3 linked regions of the Nothobranchius furzeri genome follow. The protein of the gene in region 3 binds, or shares a complex with, the protein of the main gene of each other region. Links are inferred from orthologs where the notes say so. Each region holds a gene or a part of one and is shown on either strand. Other genes may lie near its edges. The genes, in order: prpf6, cwc27 and snrpf.

What was found.
Region 1: snrpf (region 3) and prpf6 share a complex: the UniProt entries of both Homo sapiens proteins name them as parts of the U4/U6-U5 tri-snRNP complex. The link is inferred for Nothobranchius furzeri from reciprocal best matches to the Homo sapiens genes SNRPF and PRPF6.
Region 2: snrpf (region 3) and cwc27 share a complex: the UniProt entries of both Homo sapiens proteins name them as parts of the minor spliceosome. The link is inferred for Nothobranchius furzeri from reciprocal best matches to the Homo sapiens genes SNRPF and CWC27.

What each region holds. Positions count from the first base shown.
Region 1 is NC_091755.1:59,889,458-59,893,210, reverse strand, and holds the start of prpf6 (pre-mRNA-processing factor 6), read right to left. Parts: upstream 2,197-3,753; 5' UTR 2,142-2,196; coding exon 1,963-2,141; intron 1,781-1,962; coding exon 1,618-1,780; intron 1,538-1,617; coding exon 1,419-1,537; intron 1,288-1,418; coding exon 1,209-1,287; intron 958-1,208; coding exon 781-957; intron 405-780; coding exon 291-404; intron 213-290; coding exon 118-212; intron 33-117; coding exon 1-32. UniProt on the Homo sapiens protein: Involved in pre-mRNA splicing as component of the U4/U6-U5 tri-snRNP complex, one of the building blocks of the spliceosome.
Region 2 is NC_091746.1:63,257,170-63,260,922, forward strand, and holds the start of cwc27 (spliceosome-associated protein CWC27 homolog), read right to left. Parts: upstream 2,732-3,753; 5' UTR 2,421-2,731; coding exon 2,379-2,420; intron 2,032-2,378; coding exon 1,935-2,031; intron 1-1,934. Other genes in the region: ppwd1 (peptidylprolyl isomerase domain and WD repeat-containing protein 1), read left to right, coding at 3,060-3,192, 3,283-3,385. UniProt on the Homo sapiens protein: As part of the spliceosome, plays a role in pre-mRNA splicing. Probable inactive PPIase with no peptidyl-prolyl cis-trans isomerase activity. As a component of the minor spliceosome, involved in the splicing of U12-type introns in pre-mRNAs.
Region 3 is NC_091741.1:34,923,537-34,927,289, reverse strand, and holds the start of snrpf (small nuclear ribonucleoprotein F), read left to right. Parts: upstream 1-1,358; 5' UTR 1,359-1,495; coding exon 1,496-1,498; intron 1,499-2,621; coding exon 2,622-2,747; intron 2,748-3,753. UniProt on the Homo sapiens protein: Plays a role in pre-mRNA splicing as a core component of the spliceosomal U1, U2, U4 and U5 small nuclear ribonucleoproteins (snRNPs), the building blocks of the spliceosome.

The sequences.
Region 1 (3,753 bases), on a different chromosome or scaffold from region 3:
ATTTCAACAGCAGGCGAGCCTTCTTGATGTCGCTGGGTGAGATTTAGGTGTAATTCATCAAACACACATAAGAAGTTATTTCAAAAGGAAATTTTCCTATGGGCAACTTTTCTATACCTGATGTCTCCTCCATAAGTGGGGATCATGGAGTTGAGATCTGTCAGGTAACCCTTAGGATCCACCACTGTCTGTCCACTGACTGAATCAGACACCTTAGTGGAGAGAAAAACAATAAAAACAGGTAAAATCTTGATAAATGTGAAAGAAGCTCAGGATTTAGATAGGTCTACCTGACTGAGCCTCATATCCATGAGAGTGTTTCTGGCTTGACCGATTTTCCTCATATCCAAGTCTCCAGTTCCAGGAGTCATGCTGCCTGGGTATGGTGTGTTCAGACCGCCCAGCTACCAAGACAGAAAGCAGGAATTGTGTTACAGCGTGTGTGAACAGCTAAAGAAAGCTGAATCCTTTCTCACAGCTATAACTGACACACGTAAAAGATGCTTTATATTCTGCAGAACTAAACATGGAGCCAGCTCTGTCTAAGTAAACACTGCTGTTTCCAGTTAAAGTATTTAAACATTGCATGCATGAAATCAAGTAGATAAATGAATAGTTTCAAGTTTAAACATGAGGTTGATGCTCTTAAGCAGATATTTACTGACAATATAATGCATGGCTGCACATCTCTGAACAGTTATTCTGACTCCTGCTGGGGCAAGGTGAAACTACAACAAATGTTCGGTGACCTGCTTGTAGTGTGTTTTCATGACTACTAACCCCTTGTAACGGATCAACAGATGTGTGGTTTTCTCCGGTCTGCAGGTGTTTAGAGAAGAAGCTGTCAGGGACCGGGGTGAGCTTCTCAAAGCGAGGATTCCTCTGTCGCTTGTTCCTGGCATCTCCAACTTCAGGGATGCTCAGCCACTCCTCCTCCGACACCTCTGCTAGTTTTCTCTGTAATTAAATGATAAAACAGAGATGCGTGTCTGATCCTAAGAGAGATTAATAATTGTAATTTCATGTGCCTTTGCATTACCATTTCACAAATGGCAAATAAGATCACAAATTTGTTTAAAAGCACAAAAACATGAATGCAAACAAATCAGTATGCAGAGTCAGCTGTTAACCTGCACAAAATGCATTAAAGATAGATACCTAAAAATAATGGCATCGTGAATACAATAGAATAAATGTGGAAAACTTACCTTCAGATCTGAGAACTGCTGTTGGATTTTAGGACGCTCCATACGATATTTTTCTATTTCTTCCTTTTCTCTCAGCTCCCTACGAGCAACCACAGACAGTATCAGAAACACATTAAATCAACACAGGGATGAAAAAGGGATGCTCTGTGCACTTATTTTGTAGGTGTTTGGTCTTTTTTGGTCAAGAGGTAGATTAGTTTTATAGTTTACCTTCTTTCTTTGCGCCGTTCATCCATTCTCTTGTCAAGTGCCGCATATATAGCATCTGCTTCTTCATCGTCCTTTTCATAAGGCCCACTGGAGAACAAGCTGCCAGCGTAACCATTAAACTGTACAAGGAGCAAACAGGAGTTATTGACTGGATGCACTGAAGTATTAAATGCCAACAAAAGCATTTAGTTATTGAGACCTCGTCATAGTTGGTGTCGTTTAGATCTTCGTCATCATCATCCTGATTCTTCTTCATCTGGTCACCAACCGTCCTCTTCCCTGGGGGAGCATGCCGATCATCCACGGGGTCGTTGGCATCCCGAGCAGGACCGATGTCGGACCGGGTGGTGAATCCTGTGGCACTGAAACCGCAACATAACCCTTAAGATCGGAGATTTGTCCTTTGTTGCAAACAGCACAAACCATTGTTATAATGTATTTAAAATGTTGTTTTATTTGACACTGCATGCAGAAGGTGGACAATTCAAGTTGTCAACAAACACGCAACTGGAGGAGCTAACGACTTAGCATCAAATTAGCTTACCCTCTGCCGAGACCAGGAACGTAACCTAGCGGAGCGGGCATCCCCAGAAACGGCTTCTTCTTTTTCCCCATAAGCGGAGAGGCAAGAGGTATTACAGGGGGCGCGCCACTCGCCCCTGTGCCCCCCGCGCTGGTTTTGGAGACAAGTTTAGGTGTTTGTTTTGCTCCAGAGGTAGCCATCGTTGCTGCAACGACGTGCACACTCACTAGCAGATGAACAACAGTTTAACTTCCGCTCTCGACTCCTTCCTTTTTCTTGTTTTCTGTTACAGCGCCCCCAACAGGACGGGCTGATTGATTGACCGCTAAAGTTTGCCACACGGGTGCGCCAAACTGTAGAAAATAAAATAAAAATACAATTAGATGGAATAAAGTTAAACTGAGTAAATAGTATTTATCTTTTAGGATATGCTACTCTAAACACCAAAACACAATTGTCTAAAATAGTACAATGAGGGAAAAATATATACTTATATACATGCATATATACAATGTTTATATACAACATAAACACACACACACACACACACACACACACACACACACACACACACACACACGTGATATTTATTTATACTCAATTTTAAGATATAAAAAGAAAAACTAGATAAATCATAGTATCTTCATCCATCCTAAATGAACCACCTCAAGTTGTGCAAAACTGAGAACGGTCATTTTTGACTGGCCTAATGCAGAATGCCTCATCAGTATCTGGTTCATTAAAAAAAAAAAAAAAAAAAAAAAAAAGAAAAGCTGTCTCACTCCTACGTTGGCAGTCCTGGGTTAGAGTTTGAAGTGGAGGTAGGGTAGAGTAAGATAAATACTCATACATACTGTTGTCATTTCCTCTCTAGTTTGTTTAGTAAAAAATTATTACCTAGACATTGTTTACAGAAACAACTAATGGACCTGCAGCCCTAATTAAGACAAGGATGACTCAGATGACATTTGATCCCACAGATAATTAGGTTGCCAAATTGAAAGAAATACATCATTTTTTATGCTGTTTGAAAATTGAATACAATATTTTCACTCCTTGCCTGTCTGACTGCACATATATTATATTGCTTGTAATGTACATAGTTTTAGGTCAAATGAGCCATGCATTTGTGATGATTTCCATTAATTCCCATTAGACACATGCCAACATGCTACATCAATAACTCATCTGACATTTCAGGTTCAGAAACCTACACTCAAACAGAGATGCCAGAGTGCAATAAGTAATTACATGCTAACATGACATTTTTGGGATCTATCTCATGAGATGATGTGAAACCATTCATCAATTAGTTTCAATCGCATTAACTTCAGCCGTCTTCACTCCTAGCCTGGGATCCAGCCTCTACATCTTTCTTCATTTACATCGCCTGAAGGGATGGTGTTATTTTACCCGTGGGAGAGGATGTTAGGGAAGAAAATTGACCGTCAGATGGATTAGATGCTAGGTGGTTCACATGTACAAGGACAGATTTAAATATGAAGCTTAATTCAAACTGCATTTCCTCCCATCAGTGTGTTTTATGTCCTTGTGAGTCTTTAAATGATGATTTTGTTTTGATTGAATAATTAGAACACAATAAAATGCACATTTATATATGACTAAAGGAAAGAGCCACATATCATGTGTGTGTTTATCTCAAAGCTGACCTACAGATAGCTGATCAAGGTCGATGTCAGGATGATAAATGGAAAGTCATTCCTGATACAGGCCAATATTAACACCACATTTTTCCCCCATGTGCATGATGCATACACCCTGAATAATTTTAATAAAATGAAATAATTGTAT
Region 2 (3,753 bases), on a different chromosome or scaffold from region 3:
GTCATACGGTTGTACCTCGGTTGCACCGGCCGGCTTTGGGACCCTGTAGTGACTGTTAAGCGACATCGACATGTCGTCTGTTCAGCCTTTTCTATTTGAACCAGAGCGAAACATTAATGATGACATCACTGATTATGTTTCACAAAACGAGCATCAAAATGAAGAGCAAGAAGGGCGGGATGAAGCGAGAGCAGGACAAAAGCAGTGGTGTGTGTGCTGCAAATGCGTCTCCATGGGAACCGAAAGGGAGAGTGTTTGTTGTTAAGAGCTCATATTTTTGTCCGCAGAAGTTAACGGTAAGCTGTCGCGTGGTCAAACTTATTCAATTATGAATTGTTTAGGAGAATTTTAGCATCCAGAGCTGTCGTGTGCTTCATAGATGATTAGGATATTCAGTAAAACAACTTTAATCATTTTTTCAGATATTGTATATTTGGAGAACACTGTGTTGCTACACTTACTGCTTGTCTTACTGAAGGGAGAGGTGAATGTTCAGCTTCATCTGTGACGAGTGGCGTGTCCGATGGTTCGCCCAACGTGACAGAAGCGACAGCTGCAGGAGCGGGTTGTCGGCTCAGGAGAGCGTCCAGCGTCTCGTCTCTCTGAGAGACAGTGAAACTCCGCCCATGCCCACTCTGACAAAATGTGCCTACTGGACCAGCTTTATACCCTTACGCCCAGATCACACTGTATGATTTTCGGCTGTCTTTGCCAAATTCCTAGTCCTGAGCAGAATCGTGACAAAAAAAAATACAGTGTGGCCGGCTCTGCGACAACTTTTTGAGCCGTCTCACGACCAAATCAGCTTAAAAAAGTCTTCAAGCATGCTTGAAAACCTGGGACTCCTGTCTGCAACCGACCAATGAAAACACACCTTTTGGGACGCCGCAGCAGCAAGACTCCGCCTCTCTGAGCTTCAGTTTCAATACCCACCAGTTTTTATTTCTGTTAATAGAACAAGTTAAACCAGAGTTATACTAAAATAATTAAACTACCTTTTTTAGACCATCAGATAAATTGTGGACAGAGGAAGCTCTGTGACAGCGGGTGTGAGCTGTCACATGGAGCGGATCTGCGGAGCATTGAAACAGAATTCACGGCAAAAGTTATATAGCAGCGATCTGTGACAGATTGTTACTTCTCTGTAGTTTAGTGGGTTCTTGTGTATAAAGGAGGAGAAGGATGAATGACCAGCTGACAGCTCCGCTGTTTAGCTGGAAGACGAGAAAAGGAGACCTGCAGCCGGAGTCTGACGCCAAAACAAAGGTTTTAAAAACGTAGCTTCCTGTTTGAGAAAGATGAGCTGGGTCATGAACTGACACTAAAACTAAGTGTTTTTATCTTTTCAGCTTTGGGTAGTGACCGAAAGAATGAGATTGGAGATAAAAGCGCCCTAAATGAGTTTTCTCTGCAGGGTGGCTGGGCTCTTCCTTAGAGATAGGGTGAGGAGCTTGATCATCTGGGAGGGGCTCGGAGCAGACCTGCTGCTCCTGCACATCAAGAGGAACCAGTTGAGGAGGATCTAGTTAAGATGCCTCCTGGACACCTCCCTGGTGAGGTTTTCCGGGCATGTCCAACCGGGAGAAGACCTAAAGCAAGACCCAGGAAATGCTGGAGGGACAATGTCATTCACCTGGCCAGGTAACTCCCTAGGATTCCCCTGGAGAAGCTGGCCTTAGTGGCTGGGGAGAGGGAAGTCTGGGCCTACTGCTGCACCCACAACCCGACCCCGGATAAGCAGCCGAAAATGGATGGATGGATGAATGGATAATATACCCCCTTTAACATACATGAGGTTCACTGATATCTGTACTGCAGTAAATATCAATATGTACATATGGATACTTGTATTTTTTTGGAATGCATCATCCACAACTTCTGAATTTCAGATTTTTCCTCCACGGACCGTTTTTTAACAGCACGGTCTACCTTACCTTCCATGCACAGCTGCACAAAGTTCCTGCATGCTTTAGGAGTCTCCTTGGACCACAGCTCGATGTCAATTTCCCCTGCTGAGGTCTTCATCAGCACCTGAAAAGCAGCACAGCAAAACATATCTACATATAAAACTACTTCTCCCTAGCCTAGTGAACTAGACCAAAATCTTTCTTTGCAAAGTTTTTTTTTTTTTGCACAGAAGTTTGCAAAGCAAATAATATATTTATTTTGTCTCGCTTGCCAGGCTAACTTCTCCTACCATCCCGCTACTTCTATGGCACACGCGTTCACCTCCTACTAGCAACATATCAACAACTAGCTGGTAACATATCAACAACTAGCTGGTTTCAACGAAATGTGTATAAACTTTACAAGGAAAAGCTACACTGCATGTTCTTAATGTAAATACAGACAAAATAAAAAGATAGGAAGGCACTCACCTTTCCACTTGTTGGAGGTTCCTGGATATATATGTTACTCATTTTGAAGGTGAATCTGCTTATGTGCTTCGAAAAAAAAACGAAATTCTAATCTTTAACACCTTTATACCTTCAACTCACGTAAAATGTATAATAGATAAACGGTTAGTAATCCTGATAACTGCTTGTACTTTTCCCGAATGTTGCAAATTTCACACTTATCCTCCAACAGCCATGCTAGTGCAGTGTTTACTTCAGAGAACACGGGGGAATCCTGATGTACTACTCTTTTTTATTTAGTATACTCTGCTGTTTATGATAATTATTTAAGATGTTTATATGTTTTCATTTTGAAAATATTTTTTCACGTTCATAACAACCAGCTAAACCGCTAACGACAACATAACATCAAAAACAATCGCAGGCTCAGCCCCTAAAAGTGAAAATGGTTGAATCCACACGATGTTCAGCGTTAATAGGCCCATAGAAACAAAGCATAATAACAAGTTCCGCATTAAGCTTCTATTACACTTAAAATACGAAAATATAATCCAGTTTTATAATTTAGGGTGCATTCTAAAATATTACTTAAAAATTTACAATCTCTAATAAATTTCGCTAAGTTTCTGACGGAGCAAAATTAAATTCAGAGCGCAGCGGAAGTGCCGTAATTACGAAAGGACCACACGACGCTGTGCAGCAATGGCGGAGGTTGAAAACAGTTTGGAGTTAAAACGAAAAGCTGATGATGTTCAAGATGAAGATGGAAATGATGAAAGTACAGACTGGGTTGGACCCATGCCAAATGAAGCATCAAAGACAAAGAAACGAAGAGGTGGGTTAATGACACTGAATTTACCACAATGGTTTGCGCGAATCCACTTTTCAGTAAATCCCGCTAATTCTGGTTCGGTTATTTCTTCAGTCCTAGAATACGAGCGAGTCTACCTGGATAACCTCCCATCAGCTGCCATGTACGAACGGAGCTACATGCATAGAGACGTTATCACACACTTGGTGTGTTCGAAGTAAGTGGAGAAAAATACCGCGGTAAAGTTAGCTTGAACTTGGACGTTGGATATTTGACAGACATTGGTTTACACTGTTAGCGATAAGTCTTTATGCCGTGCACTGAGCACAGCGATGTGCTGATTTCCGAGGACTCGCTATAAGTCCCTTAATTTTGAAATAAAATCCTAATAAAAAAGATCAGATTGAGTGAAATGTGTTAAAACTGTTGTGTCTTGTAAATGTAGTTTAGTAACACATGTCAGAAGTAATTTTGAGTCATTTAGGAAATTATTCTGGAAGTTTAAAAACAATTTTGTACTCGTTTACAAAGGACTACAAATTTGTTGATAGTCCCTAAGCGACCCACCATTCCCTATCGCGAGTC
Region 3 (3,753 bases):
TTCCTAAAGCCGTTCGACTTGTAGAGGCAACGTTGTTGTTGTGATTGTTGTCATTCTGGTAACTTTGATCGCTTTTATGTAATTTTGTGTCTCTTTGTGGTCGTTTTGCTGATTTTATTGGTCTTTTAGAATAAATTGTAGTTTTCTTTTCATTGTTTGTTACTAATTTAAATGATTTTTATTTCATAACTTCTAATCTTTGTGACCATTTGGTGAAAATGTCATCTTTTTTATTTTATAGCCTCGTAAGACTAATTTTGCTATTTTAAAATCATATTTAATTAATAAATAATTTCCCTTTTGTTTTTGGTTGCTTTGCACGAGTTACTTTCTTGTGACTACAGTTTTTGCAACACTGCAAATTTATTTGTGTCTCTTCATCATTTTGCAGCTCTAAATACGTTTTTAAACACATGAAAAATATATTATGCTTTCTTTATCGGTTCAGTCGGTCTGTCTGTCTGTAACAGATTTTATTACGCCTCATGCCAACAGTAGTTCTCATACAACTCATGCACCCTCTGACTGGCCACTTCTCTAAACCTCGCGTACCGTCTCCATCCCATAACTGAGACCAGACTGTCTGATGGACGGGTTAATTACACGTTGGAAAGGTGAGGTCGGGAAAATACTCAGTGATGTAAAGAAACAAGTATTTCAAACATGCAGAGAGAGATCCAGAGCAATTTCATAGGAATTTTTCTGACAAAACCCAGCCATTTGCTGAATGAAGTCAGATTTCGGTTTTATTCACCATGGCAGGTTTGAACTTGCCTGACTTTTTGGTAACAGACAAACGCTTCAGAGCAGAAAACATTTTTTAAACATCGGGCTTCTTGTGCCTGGAGAAAAACAAAGCTGCAGAGAGCAAGCATGACCCAGTTATGACAGTCGTGCCAGGTTTAGCTCCTAAACCGATATGTTTTCAATCAGTCACTGATCCTGCATGACATAAATAGAGCAGGAGTTCAACTCAAGGCAGATGACATGATCTTGTTGCTGAGAATGAAAACGAGTTTGAAGAAAATTATTACTAGTTTTTCCTGGACTTAATAACTGATTTTTTTTGCCATTTTCTTTTGTGAATGTAGAGGAGATACAACTTTTTGGACTGGACTTTATTTCTGTATCGTGCCACGAACATATAGCAGATACTCTATAAACAACTGACATATCAACCCCAGAGATCGTGCATACATATTGTAGGTGTTTAATTCACGTTTCGTTTATCAGCTCACAGTTTACTGTTCAATGGGTGACTGTAAATGAGAGGAAGAGGGGAAACTTTTGGAGCTTTACACTAAATCACTTGGGTAGCAGTTCGCTCATCCGGCCACTGGGAGGCGCTGTTTAAAGCACGGAGACTCGTGCCCAGGTCGGAAAGTTGTACTTCCGGTCGGCGGTAAAGCGTGCTTCGTGGTTTGCAAACGTTATCGAGACGAACATATTTTACTTTTTTGATTTAGCTTATTAAAGCTGTTTAATTTGATATAAAATGGTGAGTAAGACGTTGTATATCTTTATCGTCTTGCGAATGAACTATCAGGATTTAATTCAGTGTATTTTTGTTGTTTAGCGTTAGCCATGTTAGCTTTTCATTCATAACTTCGACCTAGACCTTTCACACCCTCAAACACATATTAACACAAAACTGGTGTTATAAATCTTCGGTTTCTTATTCCCTTTGGGTTGTAAGCCGTCTACTCGTTCATCACTGTTAATAAACAAGAGAAAAGACCGCAGAGGCTACATCAACCGCTAGCATCCCCTCGCTTCCTGGCAAAATAAAGTCCAAACTATTTCGCTAAGATCGTTTATCAAAAGCTTCCATAAGGAAATGAATATATATTAATAATATGTCTCTCGACCTTTAGCTATTTAATCTTTATAATGTGAGCTAACTCCTCAGGCCTTTAAGTCCACGGTGTCCTGTAGCTAGCCTTAAGAGAGATGATCGGTTTAAAACAAGCGACTCAGAATGAGCTAAGAGCATCTTTGGTGTGTGCTTGCTGTGTTGAAATTCTAATTCCATCTTTTAGTTATTTTTAAAACACAGAAAGGTTTTATTTGCCTGCAACGTTTCGTTTGCGGCTGCAAACTTCGTCAGGCTGACGCTGCAGGTAAATAAAACAGCAGTAAAGCATTTAAACCTTTTTATTAAACCACCTGACCCGGATTAACCTTTGTGTTATGGGAGAACATATTAAAATTTAATAGTGATTGAACAAAATAATGCAATTTAAAGAAAAATAACACTATTAGGATTTAACAGCTTGTTTTATTACACAGATCAGTTGCGCTGATTCATTAAACGTTTTTTATGAATAAAATTAGATTGGTTAAACAGCTGTTTGGCCATTAAGTAATTCATTAGTAAAGTCAATAAAAATGATTTACTTTGCAGTAGATTTAAAGTTTGGATTCTACGCAAAAACGTTTAATTGAATCCGGATTTCCTTCATGTTGGAGTGAGGAGTATCTGTGTTGTAGGACGGACGGCTGGGGGTACGCTGCTGTTCAGCAGCGTTACAAATTCATGAAATGTAGTCGTTAAATGCATTTAATTTTCTTCAGTAGTGTGGGATGTAATGGCTTTGCTGACCTCTGTTCTTCTTCTACAGAGTTTACCTCTGAACCCGAAGCCTTTCCTGAACGGCCTGACGGGAAAACCTGTGATGGTGAAGCTGAAGTGGGGTATGGAGTATAAAGGCTACTTGGTGTCTGTGGATGGATACATGAACATGCAGGTGGGTGCCGTTTCTCCTCCTAACAACCAAACCACAGAATCTTCTCACATGGAAAAATAAACCATTTAATTATTTGTATACCTGCTCAGGATTTGCTACTGCTTGATGATTTTATTGTGTGGTTTTATCTGTGTCAGACTTCTTTATTATCATAAATTTGGTTAAGCCAAATCAAAATAAATGATAAAATTAAATTTGTACCCCAGGAAAATTCAGCTCTTTAGACCCATCATCCTGCTTGTTTTCTATGTTTCTTTGCTTCAACACACCTGATTTGAGTCATTAGGCGAATAATGAGCTGCTTCAGAAGAATTAAGCTATTGAATCAGGTGTGTTGGAGCAGGTAAGGAACTAAAACATGCAGAACCAGGGCTCACTGATGTTCTTTAATCAGTTCAACTTCAGATCATAGTCAGACTGCTGAAAGGTGTTTATCTTCGTGTCCAGCAGGGGGCGTTGTTTGATCAGTTTGAGGGAATTTTTGCTAAAGAGACTGAAGTGAATAAAGTCATGGCTCCAAAATGTCTAAGGAAACTTCATGTAATTATAATTTTACTTATTAATATTAACAAAGCAGCCTATTTATCCTTCAGCAGCAGTAAAATACAAATGTTCCCAAAGCAGGGTGTGTTTTCAAATGTTTGCATGTATATTTGGGAACAATATCTAGGATATGCACCCAGTTGTCAGCGAAATGCAAATCAGTTCAACAGCAGTTGATGAAGTTCTAACAGCTTTTTAAAAGTCTAATCCATAAACCTCCACTGGAAAGAATATAGATGCAGGAATTAGGCCTGCAGCTATCGAATATTTTTGTAATCGAGTACTCTATCAAATCTTTTATCGATTAATCGAGTACTCTATCAAATCTTTTATCGATTAATCGAGTACTCTAATAAATGACCCTTTTGTGTTTGTAAACCATTATATCAAATAGCATGTTATAAAATATGAAAGACCTCTTAAAATGAGTACGCTATTGCCAGTTATTCTTCAAGTTTTATTC